Linked DNA regions of Mytilus edulis. The protein of the gene in region 2 purifies or fractionates together with the protein of the main gene of each other region. This does not show direct contact. Links are inferred from orthologs where the notes say so. Each region holds a gene or a part of one and is shown on either strand. Other genes may lie near its edges.

Evidence for each region. The genes of interacting proteins can lie anywhere in the genome.
Region 1: the proteins of ribosome biogenesis regulatory protein homolog (region 2) and pre-rRNA 2'-O-ribose RNA methyltransferase FTSJ3-like purify together in Homo sapiens (affinity purification with mass spectrometry; 3 studies listed by BioGRID and IntAct, counting the BioPlex papers as one, with this or other methods). This does not show direct contact. The link is inferred for Mytilus edulis from reciprocal best matches to the Homo sapiens genes RRS1 and FTSJ3.
Region 3: the proteins of ribosome biogenesis regulatory protein homolog (region 2) and uncharacterized protein fractionate together in Homo sapiens (co-fractionation; 3 studies listed by BioGRID and IntAct, with this or other methods). This does not show direct contact. The link is inferred for Mytilus edulis from reciprocal best matches to the Homo sapiens genes RRS1 and NOP2.

The regions. Positions count from the first base shown.
Region 1 is NC_092349.1:66,464,823-66,472,766, reverse strand, and holds the start of pre-rRNA 2'-O-ribose RNA methyltransferase FTSJ3-like, read left to right. Parts: upstream 1-4,931; 5' UTR 4,932-5,051; coding exon 5,052-5,118; intron 5,119-7,944.
Region 2 is NC_092352.1:17,453,002-17,460,225, forward strand, and holds the start of ribosome biogenesis regulatory protein homolog, read left to right. Parts: upstream 1-4,211; 5' UTR 4,212-4,250; coding exon 4,251-4,402; intron 4,403-7,224. Other genes in the region: rho GTPase-activating protein 44-like, read right to left, coding at 3,969-4,039. UniProt on the Homo sapiens protein: Involved in ribosomal large subunit assembly. May regulate the localization of the 5S RNP/5S ribonucleoprotein particle to the nucleolus.
Region 3 is NC_092356.1:37,575,956-37,583,440, forward strand, and holds the start of uncharacterized protein, read left to right. Parts: upstream 1-4,472; 5' UTR 4,473-4,557; coding exon 4,558-4,663; intron 4,664-7,485. Other genes in the region: putative leucine-rich repeat-containing protein DDB_G0290503, read right to left, coding at 1-1,507, 2,037-2,047. UniProt on the Homo sapiens protein: S-adenosyl-L-methionine-dependent methyltransferase that specifically methylates the C(5) position of cytosine 4447 in 28S rRNA. Required for efficient rRNA processing and 60S ribosomal subunit biogenesis.

The sequences.
Region 1 (7,944 bases), on a different chromosome or scaffold from region 2:
ATAAATGGAAATACAAAATAACCTGGCATTGTAGTAAGATTAATATATAATTGTGATAACTGTAGAGTTTTAGGATAATCCTAGTTGATTTGAAAAACTTATAAACATTATTAAAGTTGACTATCAAAAGTTTATTTCGACCTGAAAATTCCAACTTTTTTACTTTTTGAGGGAAACTTTAAATTTCACATTTATAAATGGAAATACAAAATAACCTGGCATTTTAGTAAGATTAATATATAGTTGTGATAACTGTAGAGTTTAAGGGCAATCCTAGTTGATATGAAAAAGTTACAAACATTATTAAAGTTGACTATCAAAAGTTTATTTCGACCTGAAAATTCCAACCTTTTTAATCAAATACAGTATAAAAACACCATTTATTAAAAACCAGCCTCGCTAGTTGTTATGGACATCTGACCTGTAAAATACAGTATAAAAACACCATTTATCAAAAACCAGCCTCGCTAGTTGTTATGGACATCTTACCTGTAAAATATTGTATAAAAACACCATTTATCAAAAACCAGCCTCGCTAGTTGTTATGGACATCTTACCTGTAAAATACAGTATAAAAACACCATTTGTAAAAAACCAGCCTCGCTAGTTGTTATGGACATCTGACTTGTAAAATATAGTATAAAAACACCATTTATTAAAAACCAGCCTCGGTAGTTGTTACGGACATCTGACCTGTAAAATATTGTATAAAAACACCATTTATCAAAAACCAGGCTCGCTAGTTGTTATGGACATCTGACTTGTAAAACACAGTATATAAACACCATTTTTCAAAAACCAGCCTCGCTAGTTGTTATGGACATCTGACCTGTAAAATACAGTATAAAAACACCATTTATCAAAAACCAGCCTCGCTAGTTGTTATGGACATCTGACCTGTAAAATATTGTATAAAAACACCATTTATCAAAAACCAGCCTCGCTAGTTGTTGTGGACACCTGACCTGTAAAATACAGTATAAAAACACCATTTATCAAAAACCAGCCTCGCTAGTTGTTGTGGACATCTGACCTGTAAAATACAGTATAAAAACACCATTTGAAAAAAAACCAGCCTCGCTAGTTGTTTCGACACCTGACCTGTAAAATACAGTATAAAAACACCATTTATTAAAAACCAGCCTCGCTAGTTGTTATGGACATCTGACCTGTCAAAGACCAGCCTCGCTAGTTGTTATGGACATCTGACCTGTAAAATACAGTATAAAAACACCATTTGAAAAAAACCAGCCTCGCTAGTTGTTATGGACATCTGACCTGTAAAATACAGTATAAAAACACCATTTGAAATCAAAGCCTTAAAGGCTGTAAAAGCAATTGCTGCCATGTTAATGTTTGGGGACTTTTATTTTTCATCCACATATATACAAGAATTAAACCTGACATGAGTGTTGTCTAGTTAAAAGTAAGAAGGTTTTAACTTTATATAAATAAAAGACTTTAGCAGAAAGTCATTTTTAATATGTTTTATATTTCACAAGGAGACAACACGTTTAATTACCAGGCTAAAGTTGGGGTCAAATATACATGTGCTGAAACATATAACTCAAAAAGAAATCATCATGGATTATCCCCTGGTAGTGTATGTAACTTCCTTGGCAATAATTTCCTTTATTGATTTAATTTTAACAATTTTCATTATTAATTTATATTTAACCATTAACACAAATGATTAAGTTAAAACATTTCAACTTTCCAGACGCAAATGTTAAAAAACGGGAAAGAAATAAAATATCTTACAAGACATAAACATGTAAAGAATAAATGTATATTTCAGCTTAATAAAAATATTTTCATAATGTTACTTTGTCATCATTTTTAAAACTAAGTTCCAAACATTATTGCTCAGTTGATGTGTGTCCTTCTGATGCGGTACGAGCACAGGCACTTGTTTCTATCCATAGGAAGGTCGATTATCCATATAAATAGTTTTATATGGATAGTCGACCTTCCTATGGATAGAAACAAGTGCATGTGGGTACGAGATAACTACAATTCTCATGCGATCCCGAAAAGGGGGGTCATCACAGACAAACATGACATTAAATCGTTATCACTGAACTAGTATATATATTGTATAGGGGCCAGCTGAAGGACGCCTCCGGGTGCGGGAATTTTTCGCTGCATTGAAGACCTGTTGGTGACCTTAATTCTGCTGTTGTATGTTTTTCTATGGTCGGGTTGTTGTCTCTTTGACAAATTCCCCATTTCCATTCTCAATTTTATTATACGAACAACAACAAACAGCTCTACGTTGCTTTGATATTTATCAATTTTCAGGAAACATTGCGAAAAATGATCTTCAATATTTCGAAAACATGTGAAATAAAATTGCTAACACGGTGGACCGTCGAGTGTCAACAAACGTAGTAGACTTGTTCACTGAATAGACGAGGATAATGGTTTCATCTGACATTTGTTATGCAAACCCAGTTTTGATCATGATATTTAAAAAGACGTACTTTTTTTCAATCTATGTATTAATAAACTAGAAAATTCCAAATTGTAAATATCTCTTCATCTGGACCGACTTGGCATCTACTATGGACGGGTCCATTTCATTAGTAAGGTGATCGATAAATATTACGGAGTTTTGACAGAAAAGAAAAACGAACTTATTGTTGTGTGTTTTCAACAAGGGTTTCGTTCCGCTAAATTATTTGCGCAAATAAAGTTTGTCTATTTTTAGATTACAGGTAATAATTTGACACTACGCATTAACCTGTGTAGTGATTTTGATTTTACGATAAATGTATGAATGAACGATAATTTTATGAATGAACAAGAGCACCTGACCTCTTAAAGAAACACAAATTAAACATAAAAAACCGTATTTATTAGGAGATAATTCAGTTAAATTTTCAATACTAAATCAACAACTGAAATGAATCCATATTTTGTTGAAACATCGTACGAACGGCGGAAAACGGAATCGCATTTATAAAAATGTATTTTTTTTTACTCGGACTTCTATGTTATTTGATAGTCAAACGGTTGACCCTTTAAATACAAAAATACATCTACAAGAACATATTCTGAAACTTCTTAAATCCACTAACTTTTTTTTAAAGTTTCAAGCTATGTATTGCATTAGAAAACATACATAGGTGTTAAAGAATGACTGACCAGGAGCCTGTTTAGCAAAATACTATGGCTTGATCTGGGCGGAGTCTCTGATCTGGGTCACAAAGATGGCCATACGCGACGGCATAAAAGCAATTGCTTTAAAAAACCAGTCTCACTAGTTGTTATGGACATCTGACCTGTAAAATATTGTATAAAAACACCAATTATCAGAAACATGCCTCGCTAGTTGTTATGGACATCTGAACTGTAAAATACTCTAGTCTTATTCTATCTCCAACAAAAAAGAGTTCAAAAAGTAGGCGTGTTTTATTTCAAGTAGGCGGGACCAAAATCCTGCCTCGCTAGTTGCCGGCCTCACTAGTTCCGAAATAGTGCTCACTGTAAAATACAGTATAAAAACACCATTTATCAAAAACCAGCCTCGCTAGTTGTTGTGGACATCTGACCTGTAAAATACAGTATAAAAACACCATTTGAAAAAAACCAGCCTCGCTAGTTGTTTCGACACCTGACCTGTAAAATACAGTATAAAAACACCATTTATTAAAAACCAGCCTCGCTAGTTGTTATGGACATCTGACCTGTCAAAGACCAGCCTCGCTAGTTGTTATGGACATCTGACCTGTAAAATACAGTATAAAAACACCATTTGAAAAAAACCAGCCTCGCTAGTTGTTATGGACATCTGACCTGTAAAATACAGTATAAAAACACCATTTGAAAAAAACCAGTCTCACTAGTTGTTATGGACATCTGACCTGTAAAATATTGTATAAAAACACCAATTATCAGAAACATGCCTCGCTAGTTGTTATGGACATCTGAACTGTAAAATACTCTAGTCTTATTCTATCTCCAACAAAAAAGAGTTCAAAAAGTAGGCGTGTTTTATTTCAAGTAGGCGGGACCAAAATCCTGCCTCGCTAGTTGCCGGCCTCACTAGTTCCGAAATAGTGCTCACTTAACACGGGTCAGCCATTTATCGTCCCCTTCCGACGGACTATCATCGTTTCCTCGAGACCATACTCACAAATGGTGTCAAGGGAGAGTCGAAAATTCAGTTCCTGAAATTTTCATCCCAGACGGGAATCGAACCAGGAACCTTTGTGTTAGTAGTAATGTTTGATATTCTGACGAGAAAAAAATAATAAATTTTACTGTATATCAGAACTGACTAGATTAAGTTGCATTTTTTTTTAACTTTTTAATAGCAGACAGTCTGAGTGATACAGTGTGCTTTTAAGTGTAGGTTTTTTAGTTTGTGTTATTTGTTTGAGATTTTTTTGTTTGCTTGTTCAACTTGAAAATTTGTATCACCGGCACTTGTCTCTTATAAAAAAATACATATACAATGAATTATCATACAGTGGGCTTTTAAGCCAGTGTAGGTTTTTTTGTTTGTGTTATTTGTTTTGAGATTTTTTGTTTGCTGATTCAAGAAACATATGCACTTTTCCTTCTTTCGTAATTCCCTCATGTTTAGTAGCACTCGAAAATGACCGAATAATCATAACAGTATTTTTACACAATAAATCCTCTGTAAAATATGAATGACCAGTATCCTCCACCATAATATATTCTGGCAGTGTATATACAACAAGTCGTGAGCCAGTTTATATATAAGCACATGTCTCTAAAAGAAAAAAACAAATATATACAATATATTAAAGTATATGCAAGGTTTTGTATAAAAAGGTGATCAGATCTGTTTGACATGTTTGACCCATTGTTTGTCTTATGCTCGGTCTTATGTCCGTATGCGGCGAATCCAAAGTAAAGTTTATCTTACTAACTTATTTTCCGAAAAATTCGTTGTCTGTTCCGTCATTCAGTTTTGTATTTAGAAACATTTATATATTTACAGGAAATGACGTAGTACACACAAAAATCGGAAACCACGTTTTTCAATGTAAACAGATTCAGTTCATCAAATATCATTTAATATGGGCAAGAAAAGTAAAACAGGAAAATCCAGAAAAGACAAATTTTACAAACTAGCTAAGGAAACAGGTAATCATCATTTTTCAAATATAGCTGAAATAGTTTTCACTATAGATATTCTTCAATGATCAACCCCCACCTTCTTCTGGTTCATCAAAATTATTTATATTTTGAAGTTTGTCTATTTTCTTATTATTGGTACAGCTATCTTATAGAAGAGATAGAAGAAGAAAATGGGGGGGGGGGGGAATTAGTTGAGGTATCCATGGTAGTCTGTGGAGTTCAAAAAGTGTGGTGTTATAGACTCTCCTTTTCTGTTTTCTGTAGATATGTGGACTCTTTATCTTTTGATTTGTTGAATTAATTTCTGAAATACAATATTCAGTTCACATTTATCACGATAAAAGACAAATTAATAAACTTTTGGGGTGTTCAGTGTTGTTTGGCAGTGTGTGGTGGTGTTCGTTGGTGAAAAGACCTACTGCCGCCTTCTTCTTGTCTCCGTATAAGCATCCTTTATAAGAATCACCACCATGAGTTATGGGTATAAAGGAAGCATTTGAAGCCTGTATCGGTACAGATTAATGTGAGCATTTACCTACCCAATTTCCCAGCCAGGCCGTGACTGGGTCTTATTACCAGAAAGTTAACCTTCCCTAAACATAATACAATATAACAAAATAAAACATACATTTGTACTCATCAATAAAACACTACACTTTTGAGTCTTCTCTCAAATTAACTCGAATACATCGAAGCTCATGAAAGCAAATTCTTGCTTTGGTAGAGTTAGGCAATGAGAATTTAGAGAGGTCATGTAGTTTTATTGTGTCTGCCCACTGATTCACTTTCTATTCCAATCAACAAAGCATTATTCAAGATTTGGTTCTAAAAAGAATCCAATAAGGCAGGTTACACTCGTTTTGATGATATTTGTATGGGTTTCTTCTTTGATTTAAAAATACAAGTATATCTGGTTACCTGACTGACTTTTACTATGGTCAATTTGCATACTCCCATTGAACAAGGCCATAAAAAAGAATAGGTTTGTTAGCCCAAACCCTACCTACAGTACGGGTAAGGACTTATTTTTATGGATGTCTTAATCCGTCTAGATGTCAGACTGGTGGACAGTTGTCCCAGTGTAATAAACACCTGCTGTGCAATACTCAAGTGGAAGGTCGTAAATCAATCTGTACCAGCTTGATTAGAATTAAATTTTACCTGTACAGATATATTAGTATTTATGGAGGATAGATAAATGTAAAATATTGTTTTGTATTCAAAGAGAAAGAATTAAAATTAAAATTAAATATAAGAATTAAAATTAAAATTAAATATTAGAATTAAAATTAAAATTAAATATAATTTTATTTTTTTTATAATTTGAAAATGAAATAAAGACGATTTTTAACAATATATATTGTGTTGCCAATTATTTCAATAGTTTTGTGCCAATAATCTATTTTGTATTTGTATTTGTAAACCGTAAATATTTCAGCTAATTCAAAATAATAAGCCTAATAACAACCAAGACTGTTTTCAATAGAAGTTTAAATCAAATTGTTGAGACTTCAATCCCGTAAATTATACGAGTTTTCATTGATGGTTATATTATTTCCCCCTTTTAACGTCCTGTTCCTTTATATGTTATTATTAGAAACTCAATTTTAAGTATAAGGCCAACATATCGTATTTATAAAATATGTATAGGCATTGTGAATTAAGTTATTTTCCTTTTGATACAACTTTCCCCGTCGGAGCCTCTACATCTATTCACACCTGTCAATCATTTCTCGCAAGTGAAACATTTTGGTCAGACAGATCACTCGTGCTTTCTATTTTGACATATTTCCCGTTAATCTCTTTGAAAGTCAAACAATTGGTTTCTTTTAATACAATATTTATAACGCCGAGATTATATTTCGATTCCTATTTTTTTTTTTTAATTTTAAATTGTTGACACTCGAGATAATGCCTTTCTATTTTCATGTCTTAAATTTTTTATGAAAATCGCCGGTGTTATAAATATATTTTACAAATTGTATCAAATCGATACACGAAAATCAAAGTTTAACCTTATATAGTTTATTGAATAAATGCACATTCATACCCCAATGGGGTTGAAGGCTAGTAGTCGTACTAGTCGTGATCAGCTGTCTTTACTTTTTCGTCGTACTTCTATTCATTCTAAAGCTCGCGCAGTCAGTATGATTTTTTAAATCGATGTTGTATTATTTCCGAAGTTTAAAGGAGGTCTCCAAATAGATTATTTAAATGGGAATCCAGGAAATGACTGATAAAAATAAAAATAAAATAGTTAAAGAAGACTAAATCTTGTTTCGATTATACATGTATGTAAATCGATTAAATTTCTATTCTGGTAAATCGATCAAGAGCCTCAAAACTAAAGCACAATACTGTCAATCATTCCACATCAAATTTAATCATGAATGGATTTTCCCACGGACGTTCAGTAAGGTCACCTGTGTTAACTGTTACGACATTTCCCGCCATATAAAAATCTCGTGCAGTGGACAAAATCGATCTTTAATATCTTTTATTAGCATTCAATATTATTGTGAGTGGAGCCAAGTTAAAGTTCAACCACGTGCACACGCTGTTGATCACTGATATGTGTATCATGGAATTGTCTTTTCATGGCAATTTTTTCTTTTAGATTGCTATAAAAAAAATATAACATACAAGTTTCCTTCTTAACATGGATTGTGCATAAATTAATATTATGCAATTAAGATTTTGGGATTAACCCTTTCAGGATCTGGGAATTCTTTTTTCGCGATGTCGGGATTTAAATTTATTTAAATTTCGGGATCTTGGGACTTTGTGTTTTTAAGCCCGAGATTTCGAGATCCGGACCCCTTTTACCCCCTA
Region 2 (7,224 bases):
AAATAATATTTAGCTATTAGTTAATCATATTTATCCACAACTCTTAGATGTACATCACTATAACTACAATGCATGCTATATAGTTAACCAAACTTCAGCTTTGTAGCTTTTAAATTACAGTATTTGGGATGGATATTTGGATAAATAATCTAGGACTCAATAAATAAGATTATTTTTTGTTATGTTTATCTATTCAATTTTGGTGTAGTAATTAAGAACATAGTGTTCTTTATCAATATATTACTGGTAAATCCTCTCTAACATTAATTTCTTCAACCTTTTGATTGAGTCACATGCTCATGAACATTAAGGAAATACATTGTACCATTAAGGGAAGTGTAGACTTAAGGAGAAATGCAACATACACCATTTATGAAACAATAGAAAGTCCTGAAATAAATCAAATTTCATAAAATCATAAGAATGAAAACAGGAAATCTGATAATGAATCTGTATTCTGAATCATTCTGTTTATCTAATTATAGATTTGTTACTAATAAAATACAGTAGTTTTTATCAGATCTTGACAAGATACTGGTGTGTTACAATAAAAACAAATGTTTATGAAAAATAGACATCTGTCTACTCCATCTAAATCTAATATAATGGAAACGTAATTAATATGTAAACAAAAAACTGAACATAACTTCAATTCATGTTTGACCATGATAGTACATACAGTTGTACTATATCACCATAGGTTTCTTACTACTGTACAATGTACATGTACAAATGTATCTAAAAAATAAACTCAAAATGTATGCAAAATCTAGAATATTTCAATGAAGCTTAATATACAAATGTACAGGTCATACATTGTAGTGACCTATCTTTTAATATACACCCCTTTTTTACACTTCCCTTCAGTCATTAATTCACATATAAATGCAAATTCACTTTAGAAGATTGAAAATTTATCTGTATATCAAACAAACATTTAGCAGTATATATTTAAGGCCAGTTGATTGATCTTCATAATCATTGATTTCTAGCTCTTAATTCTGGGTTCTCCAGGACTCATGAAAATCTGTCTACACTCATAAACATGCTGAATTGTATGCGAGAAATTTCATAATTTTTCTTTATTTCAAAGATGTATTCAAGTTATGATGTATATATATGCAAAAGATTTCAAGAATTTTAAGAGTCAGTCCTGGTATGCATTACATTTAATAATATCTTAACCTAAAATTCATTTTCTTGAAAAATCAGGCAAAAAAAACAAACTGTTATATAAATTCAATATAATTATCTGCCATTGATTGTAAACTATTTTTTCCGAAAATTTTTAATACAATATACATTTATTGACACTTAATTTTTATAATAGTGTAATACTTATATTTACTTTAAGTATTTGATGTTCTTATTTTTTTTTAATGAAACTTGACTGAAATATTTTTAGACCAAAAAAAGTATTTTTGCGACATGACATTGAGCCAAAGGAATGCTCAGGATAAGACATCTGATCTACCATGAGCACATATGTACATATACTCATTCAATACCACATCATATGCACATTGACAGATAGAGTATTGGACAAAAAACATAATTATTCATAAAAATAAGGCGAAAACTTTAATCTTATGAAAATGGTTTGTGTTTTGTGGGGTGAGTCAACTTTTAATTTGTAAACATAATTTTTATTAAATTTAATACCTGTATTTTTAACTCAGGACTGTCATCACTTTAATTTTTATAAACAATATTAGGTTTGAGTTAATTACTGAGAGTAAAACAAAACACACTAAAATCTGGTTTTGAAGTTCAATTAGATTTCACTATAATCTTTTCAGAGTCCTAGCTACATGTGTATATATGGTATAGTAATTTCTGATGAGTTTTCTATTGGCCTTTAGCAGCTAAATTAGCTTTACTGCAGTTGAGTAATTATAGTAAATGATATTTGACTGCTAGACTATGCAGTGTGAATGAATAAAATAAAATATTGTAAGGTACCACATCAAAAGTTCAATGTAGGATAAAACACTTTTAAATTCATATAGTTTTTTCACTGACCCCCCTCCCCCTACCCTTCTCTTAACTTAATTTGTAAAAATTGATTAAACAATAAGGATATATATATGTAAAATCAATGTCAATTAAACAAAACTTGCAGCAATTTTGACCCCACCCCCAAACTATTTGAATTATGTTTTTTATCCTTCATTGATCTTTTGATGTCATCCCTAATTGAACGCATTTCTGAAATTTTATAAGGTTGTTAAATTCTTGACAGCAACACATTTTGTTGAAGCACACAAAAGCTTGAAACTAAAAAAAAATCTGCATGGTCATTTCTACATGTACACTTTGATTGTATTTTGAACTTCAAGACATTGTTCCTAATACCCTTTGAAATGAATTTCAAAAAATTTGTACATGAGAGCACTCACAAAACTGACACACCCACATGATGGATGGAGGGAAGCCTAGGGCTGTATGCCCCTATGTTTCTGGTTACAATTAATAAAACCCAATAACTCGGAAATGTAAAATGTAAAATCTATAAAAACCAAAAGGGAGCTTACGTCAACAGATATATATTAACTATCAAAGTTTCATGAGAACTGCTGCAAAGCATTTTTTAGTTATTATCTGGAAAATCCCCCCTTTTTTAATTAATAAAACCCTGTAAACTGAAAAATCCCCCTTTTTGGATGAATAAACCCCACAACTCGGAAGCGTAAAATCTAAAATTTATAAAAAAAAAAAAAAAAGGGAGATTACGTCAATATATATAAACAATTCACCAAAGTTTTATTCAAATTGGTTGAAGCGTTTTTGAGTTAATGTCCGACATGTTGTAACAGACAGACAGACAACAATATGCTATAATTCACCAATTCATATATTATACATTTCGTAATTTTCCATTGGTTTGGTTGTATAAATATAAACAGATATGTTACATTTTAGCCATTGTGAATACTTCTGATAAAAATTCAGATCACAGTCTGTGTCAGTGAATTTAAAAGACCACTTTTGAGTATGTCTGTCACCGTGAAAAACTTGTCAATTATGCGCGCTTTTATGACGTCATTTACCAGATAAAGGGGACAACCTGTATCTCTGCACTATAAACATACATCAAGTATCTTAGTGATCTTCATTGTGCAGGATATATATATAATCACTATTCACTAAGGACAGCAGTGCTGAAAGACAATTATGAGAGTTCAATTTGCAGAATAATTCGTGCAATATACCGGGTAGCTTTGTAGTTGTCCAACCACTCGCTCAACATTGGAACAGAAGTGAAGAAGCCCCTAAACGCATGAATGATGTTTACTAAAACCAAAAATTTGACAGAAATGCATTGAACTGTGGTCTATTATTTCAATTCACATTTCTCAAAATTTGATTGTTTGAAACTTTATTTTTTAGAAATGAAATAAGTTCTAGGGTCTGGGTTTAAACTAATTATAATAATAATAATAATTCTTTATTTAAAGAGGTTTACACAGTTAGCTAGGGTAACTGGATCCACATATATAGTTTTATTAGACCTAACTGATAACGCCTGCACCATATGATTATCAATAGACAATTTTCAAGTTAAATGTATGCCCTTATCCGGAAATGTTCGATAATCATAAGCACCTTTATGACGTCATTTACCAGGGGGATTGCCTGTATCCCTACCCTTATAGAGTTCATCAAGCATCTTCATGATCGTCATTTTTCAGGATACACTAGAAATAATGGTTGTTTTGAAGGTACTTTATCACAATTCCCTAATGACAGCAGTGCTAATTGTGAATTATAAGAATTCAATTTGCCAAATAATTCGCCTAATTTTTTCTAAAGCTCACATGGGAACATGTCTGTTTTAAATACTGATCTTCGCTTATTCTTTATTTTATAGCATGGCACATTACAGATACAGATAGATCTAGGCTATAATTTCAGTGTTAAGAATGGTAAAAATAAATAATTGTCATTTTATTTATAATCTAACTCACCTTCCTAAATTTTGATCAGCGAGTTGTTTCGCTCTCATAAAATTCTTGCGAAGATTCTCTGGCTTAAACATTTTGATAGTACTAATGCCTAAGCATTTAGGGATAAAATATAACTAATTTATGTAGGGTTCATGATTGCAGTCCGTCAATGTTGTGTAGGAAATTGATTCTGCAATATACTTCCGGGAGAAATATTTTGTAAAAACTGTTTTGATTGGTTTAAACTTTTTCAATTGACTAATCAGTGTTAGTCTATTATTTATCGTTGGATGTAAACAGAAGATGGCAGACCTCGTGGAAAAAGTTTTGAGAGAAGCAGCTGAAAAGGAATCAAAGTTTAAAACTATAGAAGTTGAAAAAGAGATTGATGTCATTATAGATGAAGGAAATCTCCTTGTGTGTGACACAAATCCTATTGATTTTAAATTACAAAAGTAAGAGGACCTCCATAATTTTCAAAAGTAACTCAGTAACACTAACACTTACATGCATGAACAGACTAACTTGTTCTTGTATCATGTTTATATTCTATGGTCAAAAGTCGGAGTGTCTTTTTACGACAGAACACCACAGAATACCACAGAACATAAAAACAAACAACAAAACAACTTAAATATGCAACATAACATTAAAATAACTTAACAAAATGCATGAACTAATATTAATTAGACGGTAAATCTAAATTTCATCACCGATTGCAAACCGCATATTAGTCCGAGATTACTCTGACATATAACGGCTGTTTTGGCAGACAAGCTGGGGCCGTGGGACGTCAGAGCTCGTCTCATATCAAAAAGTGGATATTTGCCCACCCAAAATAGATGCGGTACCTCGAATGACTGAATAACACTGTTAATATCCGAATAACACTTGTAATGACCGAATAACACTTGAAATTTTAATATTAGCAACATATTTGTGACTTTTAAACATTGATTATTAAATATTAGTACATTATCGATGTATTTTGTTACTTAAAAATGATTTATAGAAAGCAGAAAAGTTCTCAAAAAACTTTTAAAATTTAGTGTGTACATCCAATATGGTGACCACGGAAATCACAATGGCCGCCATGATCGATGTACACACGAAATTAAAAATTATCTTTATGCACTTATCTGCTGTCTGTAAATCATTTTAAAGTTATAAAATACATCGATAATATATTATCATTAAATAATCAATGTTTAAAAGTCACCAATATGTTCTTATATTAAAATTTTAAGTGTTATTCGGTCATTACATGTGTTATTCGGTCATTGTGTTACCCAAATAGATGCGCTACTTCGTCGCTTCTGGTGCAGACTGGTGGCCTTGGAATTATATAAAACGGGCATCAATCAATCTGTTCATTTTTCATTTATCTCTTCATTTATGTAAGTTTCACCTACCTGCCACCCTTTATTTTCTCATATTTAGACAGATTTCACAGTAGAAGTTCTATATGGGCTTATGATGTCGTTCTTGTATAACCAGTGATTTCAACAAATAAACACAATGTTTGATTAATATCTTTATTAAAACATGCCCTTTTCATATTATGATATCATATCACTTGTTAAATGCCCTTTTTCAGGATTGGAACCCTGCCCTTTTAAAATCCTAGCTGGAACACTACCTATGATCTACCTTAAGTCTTCTGCCACATGCATTGATGTCACCAATACTTGAAACTAATCTTCAACACCTGGCGTAATCACCAATTAGCCAAGAATTAAGGTTCATCATAACCTTTTGGCTAAAATGGCTGTATTTACACCACAAATTTTACTCTGAGTATAGACACACCTGTGCACCTAAGTCATGGCTGGACCTAGATAATTAAATTTTAAATGCATTTTTATGGTTCAGAAAATTATAAACTTTTCTGGATTTTGCTCTTCATTCTTTTTTCATTCCTGCAGCAGGTGCAAAAATAAACTAAGTTGGTAAAAAGTTTGAGAAACTCCCCTCATATAATCGATGTTGTGAGTAGTATTGATTTAAATGGACAATATATTGACGATAGACACCTGTAAACAATGTAACTTTTATATATCTAGGCCCTGCCATGCCTGAAAACTTTCTTAGATGCATCAGTTTGTCTGTATTTTGATGAACCTTAAATAATTTAAAAAAAGTTTTAAAGCCAATTATATTGAGTGTGTAGGTAGAGGTAATATCTTGTCTATCTTCATCAAGAGTTCTCATGTCACTCAGGTGTGTCGATCTACCTGTACAAGTAATAAGTGATCTTTAGTTGATATCCCTCAGGGCTTGGAAAATGTAATCAGGAGTACCCTTTGGATTATAATACAATACGCCTACAGATTAATTATTCATAATTGCTAACAAAAATGGCAGTGGGTAGAAAAACAAAAACTAATTTTGACAATGAGGCAGGGGTGTGGAAATATTTGTTGTGAGCACTTGTCCCAGGGCAAGTGAAACCTAAAATTTTACTTGTCCGTAAAAAAATTTACTTGCCCTGATGATCCCAATAAATATTGAAGTATTTCTTGTTAGCTAATATATGATTCTAACTTAGACTAGCACTGTTGTGCATCACAAACAAATGAAATCTATTTGTTTATATGCATGTGTAAAAAATTAGGAAAGTAGGAAATGGGTTAACATCAATAGGACAGCCTGAAACCTAACAGCAAACCAACCAATGAAATGACATGTAAAGGACAATATTACAGCAGTTTTTGAATAAAAATTGTAGCCAGTAGGTACATATACTAAATTTGAGGACAGTGATTGAAGAAATGTAAACTAAATAATAGATAAACTATTAATTTTGTAGTGTTTCTCTCAACTGACACACTTGTTTTTTTCTTGATTATTTATTATTGTCTTGATGGGCAATTAAAGCGTCCCTTCTTTTACCACTTTGACAACAAATAATGTTGATCTTTCATCTATAAATAAGACAAAAACTTAATTTTTTCCCCAAATTTCCATAGCCAGGGGCAATCTGATATCCACGATGTCTGAAATTCTCGCTTCCATTTTTTTTTAAAATAATCTGTGTCCTCCATTTACATTTAAGGTTTTCTACTCGACTTATAACTCTTTTTGTCTTGCTTGCCCACCTTTTTATTAAGTATTTATAAATCAATCTGAATCTCGATACAAAAGGAGTAGGTCCGGTAAGGACCGAATTTGGCCTCAAATTTCATGTTCATCTGACGAAAGATTTTGACCACTTTTTAAACACTTAAGTGTCTATTTTATTTGAATTAATTAGTTTATGTGAAAGATTTTAACAGAT
Region 3 (7,485 bases), on a different chromosome or scaffold from region 2:
GTTTTTATAAATTCTTTTCGGATCTATCCCATTTCCATGGGAATCCATAACAAATCTAATTTCACAATGAGGTTGATTAGAGATTGGAGCTTTAAGCTCTGTTTCTTCTTCGTCATTGCTTATGTTGTTATTATGGTCTGCAAGTAAGGAGAATGAATTTGAGGTTGATACCTGTGGGATAACATCTTGTCTTTTGTGTTCCATTAAGGATTGAATTTTCTCCTCCAACATTTTCAAATTTGATTTCAAGGTCATATTCTCTGATCGCAGAAATTGATTTTCAGAAATCAGTTGAGAATAATTGTTTTGAGAAAATTGTGATTCTGGTTGTTTCTCTTTTGGTTGTACCAATGTTGCATGTTCGCACTTATCTTGAAATTTTTCAAACTTGTTTTCAAATTCCAATACTTTCTCTTCTATTTCAGAGTATGTCTTTGTTTCTTGTTTTATTTCTGTTACCTTTAAGTTGACATAGTCAACAATTTTGTTTTCTAAAACATTTAGCCTTTGTTCAAGAGCTGCTGATTGATTGTTTTCAAATTCAAATACTTTCTCTTCTATTTTAGGATATGTCTTTATTTCTTGTTTTATTTCTATTAACTTTGAGTTTATGTAATCAAAAATTTTGTTTTCTAAGACTTCTAGCCTTAGTTCGACATCTGCTGGTTGATTGTCACTTTTTAATGTCAAGTCTTGTATCAATTGTTCACATTTACTGAGTTTTTCAATTTTTGAATTCATATTGTCTAAATTGGAATCTAGACTTGTTGACATACTACAAATTTTTTCTTCCATTTTCTGAATGGAAAAACAAATGCTCTCATTGTCAGTATGTATCTTTGACTGCGATTTTGGTACAATAATTCGAGGCGAAGAGGCGACTTTGAGATTTGTTTGACTTACGTCATTCTTTGATTCAAGCATTGTAACAAATTGTAGGTAGTTATTATCACTGCTGTCAAGGTCATGTGTTAATAAGTTTTCTGACGGTACAATGCAGTTAGCATCTACTATAGATTTCATATATTTGAATTCATTTTCTGCCCAAACAGAGTGAAGGTTACCCTGCACAGTTATGACAAATGTTGTAGGATAAAGGTGGAATGTTAAAAGTTTATTGGATTCAATTTTTGTCTCTTGTTCTGTTCCTTGAAAAATCTGAATGAAAATTTCAACTATTGGACCAGTATCATTGTTTACTTTGTCTACCCAGATACAAGTGTGATCACTCAGTTCCCCTAGTTGTAAATGATATCGGTATGCAAATGTTTTAATCCAGGATAAAAATCTTTCGGTGGATCTCACTCTAAACGCTGTCATTTTTGCCCCTGGCATATATAGGTCACCACTATTGGCATCTTCATATTGTGCATGTAGGGCTTTGCCAGTAGGCTGTTTGGGTAGTCTGGGCAGTTTATATTTGGAGATATCATTATGTTTTTTCCAAAAAGGAGAGGACAGAACTTTCTCTGGGTCTAGCTTCTCTAATTTTGTAAACACCGGATCCATATTTATCGAATGTAGGACAGAAAGTCACAGGACAAAAAGTCACAGACAAAAAGTCACGGACAAAAAGTCACAGGACAAAAAGTCACAATTATTTTTTTCTGATTATTTTCTTTGAATAAATAACGCTTATTTCTACAAAAATATTTTTGTATTTTTCTTAAACTATTGTATATAAACCAACTTTTTAAACAAAATATATCAAAAAAATATCAAAGATTATCAAATAATTGTTAAAAAAACAAAATGTCAAAGTGACTTGGCACTTAAATGTCTTCATGGTGCCAAGAAAAACATCTTTTGCATGATTAAAATTAATTAAATCTTCATTTTTCAAGTATAATGACACATTTCCTAAACTTTAATATGAATATATGTATTTAAAAGTAAATATTTCAAGACATATCCTTATATATTAAAACAATTGTCAATAAATTATTTGTGACTTTTTGTCCTGTGACTTTTTGTCCTACCAAATTTGTGACTTTATGTCCTGTGACTTTTTGTCCTGTGACTTTCTGTCCGTTTACCTATTTATCATGGCCACGTGGGTCTTCGAACAATGTTATTTATATAAATATCGATAATAGAACACCTTCATCTGATTTTTATGATTACAAATCAGTCATATTGTCTTTCTACAAATTCCATTTTACTCTCACAAATCATTATTTAGCAATCTATGCTGTTGTTTTGACTGCTGTTTTCTTTCCGTCCATTCATGGCGGGACCGGAATACTAAAAGTATTTGACGACAATCTTTAAGTTGGATGATGAAAATGCATATGTTCGAAAAAAAAATTGGTTTCCATTTCTACGATTGTGAAAATGAACTGCCGTAATGGGGAGATAATTTTGACGAAGTAGAATCCTGACTGTATTGTATATTTACAGGTAAGGAAACATGTGAGAATATTTGATGTTTTAAAATTTAGTGTCCTTAACCTCAAACATAACGTCCAATAAAATTTAATTATGATGTATACAAGCTGAAACCCCGCCTATCTTAATTGCCATGCTTGAGCAAACATTGATACAAACAAAGCAAGCAAGCCAAACAAAGATTTGTCTTGCTAGCATTAATGTAAAAGCTGTAATGACATGTTGATAGATTGTGTTCAACATTGTAAATATTTAGGTATAACATTTAGTGCATCAGGATCTTTTTCCTTTGCTCAGAAGGAATTGTACAATAAGGCATTGAAAGCATACTATAAGCTACGAAAGGACTTTTTATCACTGAATCCCAATATTAAAAACAGCCTCCATGTATTTGATCATACAATTAAACCCATTCTTTTGTATAGTTCGGAAATTTGGGGCTTTTTTAATCCTTTCAAAAAAAAAAAATTCTCAGACTTCTACAGTTGATCAAGCTTATCCTAAACTTTTTTCAGATAGATTACATATGAAATTTTGTAAATTATTACTAGGTGTGGGGAAAAGAGCAACAAACCTTGCCACTCTTTCAGAACTTGGGAGATTTCCTTTACATTTTGATATCACCAAATCTATGATCAGATACTGGCACCGGCTTGAAAATTTGGGTTCATCCTTTCCCTTACTAAAAGATGCATATTTAGAGTCAAAAGCTATTATTTGAATCAAAAATTCCCTCTTGGTATGGATCTTTAAACTATTTGCAAAAAAAAATTAATGGGGTTGACAGTCTAACCTTTGCAAGCAACTTTAGATTCAAAATTTTAATTAAAAAGTTCTTGTATGAGCACTATGAAATACAGTGGAGAAACCAAATGCACAATTGTGCTGATGGGAAGCTTTGTAGCTATAGCACTTTTAAGACTCATTTTGGTCTTGAAAGATACCTTACTATATTACAATCACCTGAGCAGAGTAGAAATTTCACTCGATTGCGTATTTCTTCTCACAGACTAAGAATTGAACAAGGTCGCTATCAGGGTACTCTCCGACAAGACAGAATATGTCTCAGGTGCACCTCAAATGAAGTTGATGATGAAAAACATTTTTTATTCTCATGTACATCATCACAAGATAAGAGAAATTATTCGAATTCCACTATTGACTTACTATGCCCAAACTTTAAGCATTTGATTCCTAGTCAAAAACTGATATGGCTTCTTAATGTAGAGAATCTTGATATTTTGATATCTGTCTGTGAGTTAATTGATGAAGATAAAATATAACTTTAAAGATAAATATTTAATCAGGCTTTCTGCACTAGGCACAAGGTTGGCATGGTGGGGTACAGGACACATCGTACAAGTTCTATTATCTTCTTGTTTGCGATATTATTATTTTTTTTATTAAACTGGTAATATTTTATCTTTTTTGTAATTTGTGCACTTTGGCATGTCAATTAGCGTTGTCCCTTGGTGCCTCTTGCAGTTGTGTCACTTTAAATAGTACTGACTCCTCTGCACCAGGCACGAGGATGACATACCATTTATGTGCAACTTCTTACAATATCTTACCATATCATTAATGTCCCGAAACACATTTTAATATGCACCCACCATGCCATATAGCACCGTCCCTAGGTGCCTCTTGCAGTTCAGCTAGATATATTTAGCCTACTCACAGTATTCTTTTTTGTTACTTTCCAGAGGTGTGCCTGAGACGAAGGTTTTATATATATACTAATATGTGATAACTGTTGTTTCTTATTTGTGTTTGTAACTTGTGTTGTTTATTATATTTGTAAAAGAATATTATATTACAATGATATTATATTATGCTCCTTGTGAGCCCATTTTATGGAAATAAAGCATCTTCTTCTTCTTCTTCTTCTTCTTATATGTCTCTGATTATATTGAGCTGTCTATTTCATACATTAGCCGCTGAAATAAGGTTATTTGTCAAAGTTCTGTCAGAGATCTCATATTTAAATGAACAAACTGTTGATGACAAAACCTGACGGATCATGGATCAGAGTTATTTAATGTAAAATATCCGGAAAATATAGATACCCGACATCGTTTCACTGTATATATTTTCCAACCGGAAGTGAAAATATTGAAAACACACAACACGTGGGGAAACAAATATTTTTCATAATTTCAGCACTAAATTATGGGTAGAAAGAGAGATTTGACGCTCGATGGACCAAAAAAAGGTCCTGGTAGAAAGGCAAAGAAGCAGAAACCTCCACAAATGCCCAAGGAACTGAAAGAAGACGGTATGTGTAGCACAAAAATAGGACTTGTAGTCCTAAATAAGTTCAGATTTTGTATAAACTATTCTATTCTATTCTATCATACAGTGACCGCCTTCAAAAAATTGAAGATGATGTCACAGAAGGAAACTTACAACAAGACATAGATTGAAAAATACGGAAAATTAATAAAAAATAAAAATGTTCTTATAATAAAGTAAGATGTTATAGTTAAATTGAGTTAACATTGATGCTTTGAAATTGAAGTTTTGAAAGAGTCTACTGAAGTGCAATTTACAATGTTATTAGGTAGTTTGTTCCAGTCGGAAATAGTTCTTTGAAAATAGGATACTTTTCTGTATCAAGTTTTGCATGATGCAGTGTTCCAGCTAGGCTGTTTTCAGAGGGTGTGGCGCCCGCCCTTTCCAAAGTGCCACCCTGTGCCCTTTTTACAGATTCCAGGGTGCCCTGCCTTTTTTTGAAGATGGATTGTTTATATTATTTTGTTCGTATTGATATGATCAGCTAATCATGCTAATTACTAAATTTTATTGCTTTGTTTACGACCCAAAGCTAATCAACGGTAACAACTGGTGTCAAAATCTGTTGTTAAAGGTAATCGGTTTATCGGATGGGTCACTAATGACCATCATCATTAATTCATTCAAATAAAATCGGTCAGTCGGCAATTATCTTTGAAGAAATGTGCAAACGCCAACTTGGTCACAATTTGCAATGTGCAACTAGAATTTGTCCTGGGCGATCTTTTTACTCAGTTGTGGTAGCCAAGGTGGCGAATTGAAAACAAGTACTTGACTGACTGAAATCCGCCATTTACCATGACTCCAAGTACTGGCTACATCATGGACAAAAATTTAAATTCAAAAGGAAAAATCTTTTTAAAATGTATTGCATCAATGTCGCGGTTGCGATAAATAAGGATGTCAAATCAGTGTTTACCTTTGATTAAATATAGTTCACGTTAATTCAGGTCACTGATTGGTCGTCTATTTAAAGTCGGAATGTATCGTATGTTTGCAAGGATAACAAGAGAGGTGTTCCTATGGTCATTAACAATATGAAGCAATCACGGTTTTGGCTTCAAGAAAGCTAAGAAAGTCAGGGAAGATGACAATAGCATGTCATGAAGTTATATAAGACAAATAAAAGAAAGTATGATATATAATGTTGTTAAGGGGGCTCCTGGGTATAAATCAATTTTTTTTTCTAATATAGGATTTAGCTATATTTTTTTATAAATGAACTTTATCATATACTTAAAAGAAAAATGAAATAAAAAAATGGGGTCACCGTTCATTTAACTCACAATCTGCCTCCGGAAGAAGCATACATTTTTGTTAATGTCCTTTTTTCTGTTGAGCTACAATGTAATCCGAGAAATAGAGGTAATATTAAAATAAAAAAATAACCTAATTACAGAAATCGCTTAAATTTTACAATTATTTAGTTTATGTACAGCTTATTTGAAAACAATAATAAAAAATATAGGTCACCGATGAGTTAAAAAGATATTTCAAATTTAATACCAAAAAATGGCATTTTTTCACCAGAGGGAGATAATTTGAAGCTTTTTCAATGATATAAACATTTTAAAAGTCATCTGGGGCCAAACCAAATCGTTTTTTTGGGTTGATTTTTGTACCATATCATAAAGTAATAACTTATAGTGTAATAAATAAAATTTGTAATGAAAAAATAAAGATTTAATTTTTTGCTGAAATTTTTGTACCCATGAGCCACCTTAAGAATCTGGAAAACAGTACCTTTTGTAGTTACCTTTTCAAAGCCCACGTGGTGTACAGAGTCAGAGAATGAAGGTAAAAAATGAAAGTAGAATATTGTCGAGCACACTAACATTTATAGTTAAAAATGATATATGTTCCTTACTAACTGAACAGTTTACAAAAAAAGAAGATATCAAGTTCATGACAATGCTTTTGAAATATGTGAAATAGTCTTGAGAAAAAAGGGGGGTTATTTGTTTACAAATGTACATAGTTTGATACGCAAAATGAATCGATCAATATATTTGATAAATTAGATTATTATAGAAATAAAATGAAATATTTCATCTATCATCTATACATGTATTCCAGAAGAGAGAATTCTTAAGTTGTCTTTAAAAATCTGGTACACAGGGTATGAAGATTCCCATTTTGCAAATGATTTTTTTTAATGAAATTTGATTTAAGTCAACAACAAATTTTGAGTCTAAAATTTCAAAATTTTCATGGGGGGCATGCCCCCAAACCCCCCTAGGAGGTTCAGCCCGCTTTGCGGGCTTCACCGGTGATAGTAAAATTATGTGGGCTACTGACTTTTTGTCTGGGCTAACTGATCTTCAAGTCTAGTAGCCCAGATGGCTACTGGCCTTTATAAGTTAGTTTGACCCCTGATAACTCAATCTGATTTTTTCCTAACATTGATTAACTCACTTAACATATTCTAAAATATGTCTACATACTTATTGCTTAAGAATATATATGTTTAGGTATTTTGATTCATGAGTTATGGGAAAAGTTAAAGAGGGTCTTAGTAGCAGTGTTGGTAGGGTGCCTTGGTCATCTTTTTCTGTATTCTTTAATTTTAATACAAATTTTCACTGTTGCTATATCTTAACGTTGTGCATTTACTGAGAACAGCTGTTTTGTGCTGTATTGCCATTAAGCACAGCAGAGGTAGAAAGGTGAAACTGGTAAAGTTTGTCAGACCAAAGAAACAGTATGAAGCAGGTCACCTTTCAAAACATACTGCATATAAAGCTCAACTGTGCCAAGCAATGATATAAAAACTTGTGTGACAAGCTGCTTGACAAGTTTTTCAGC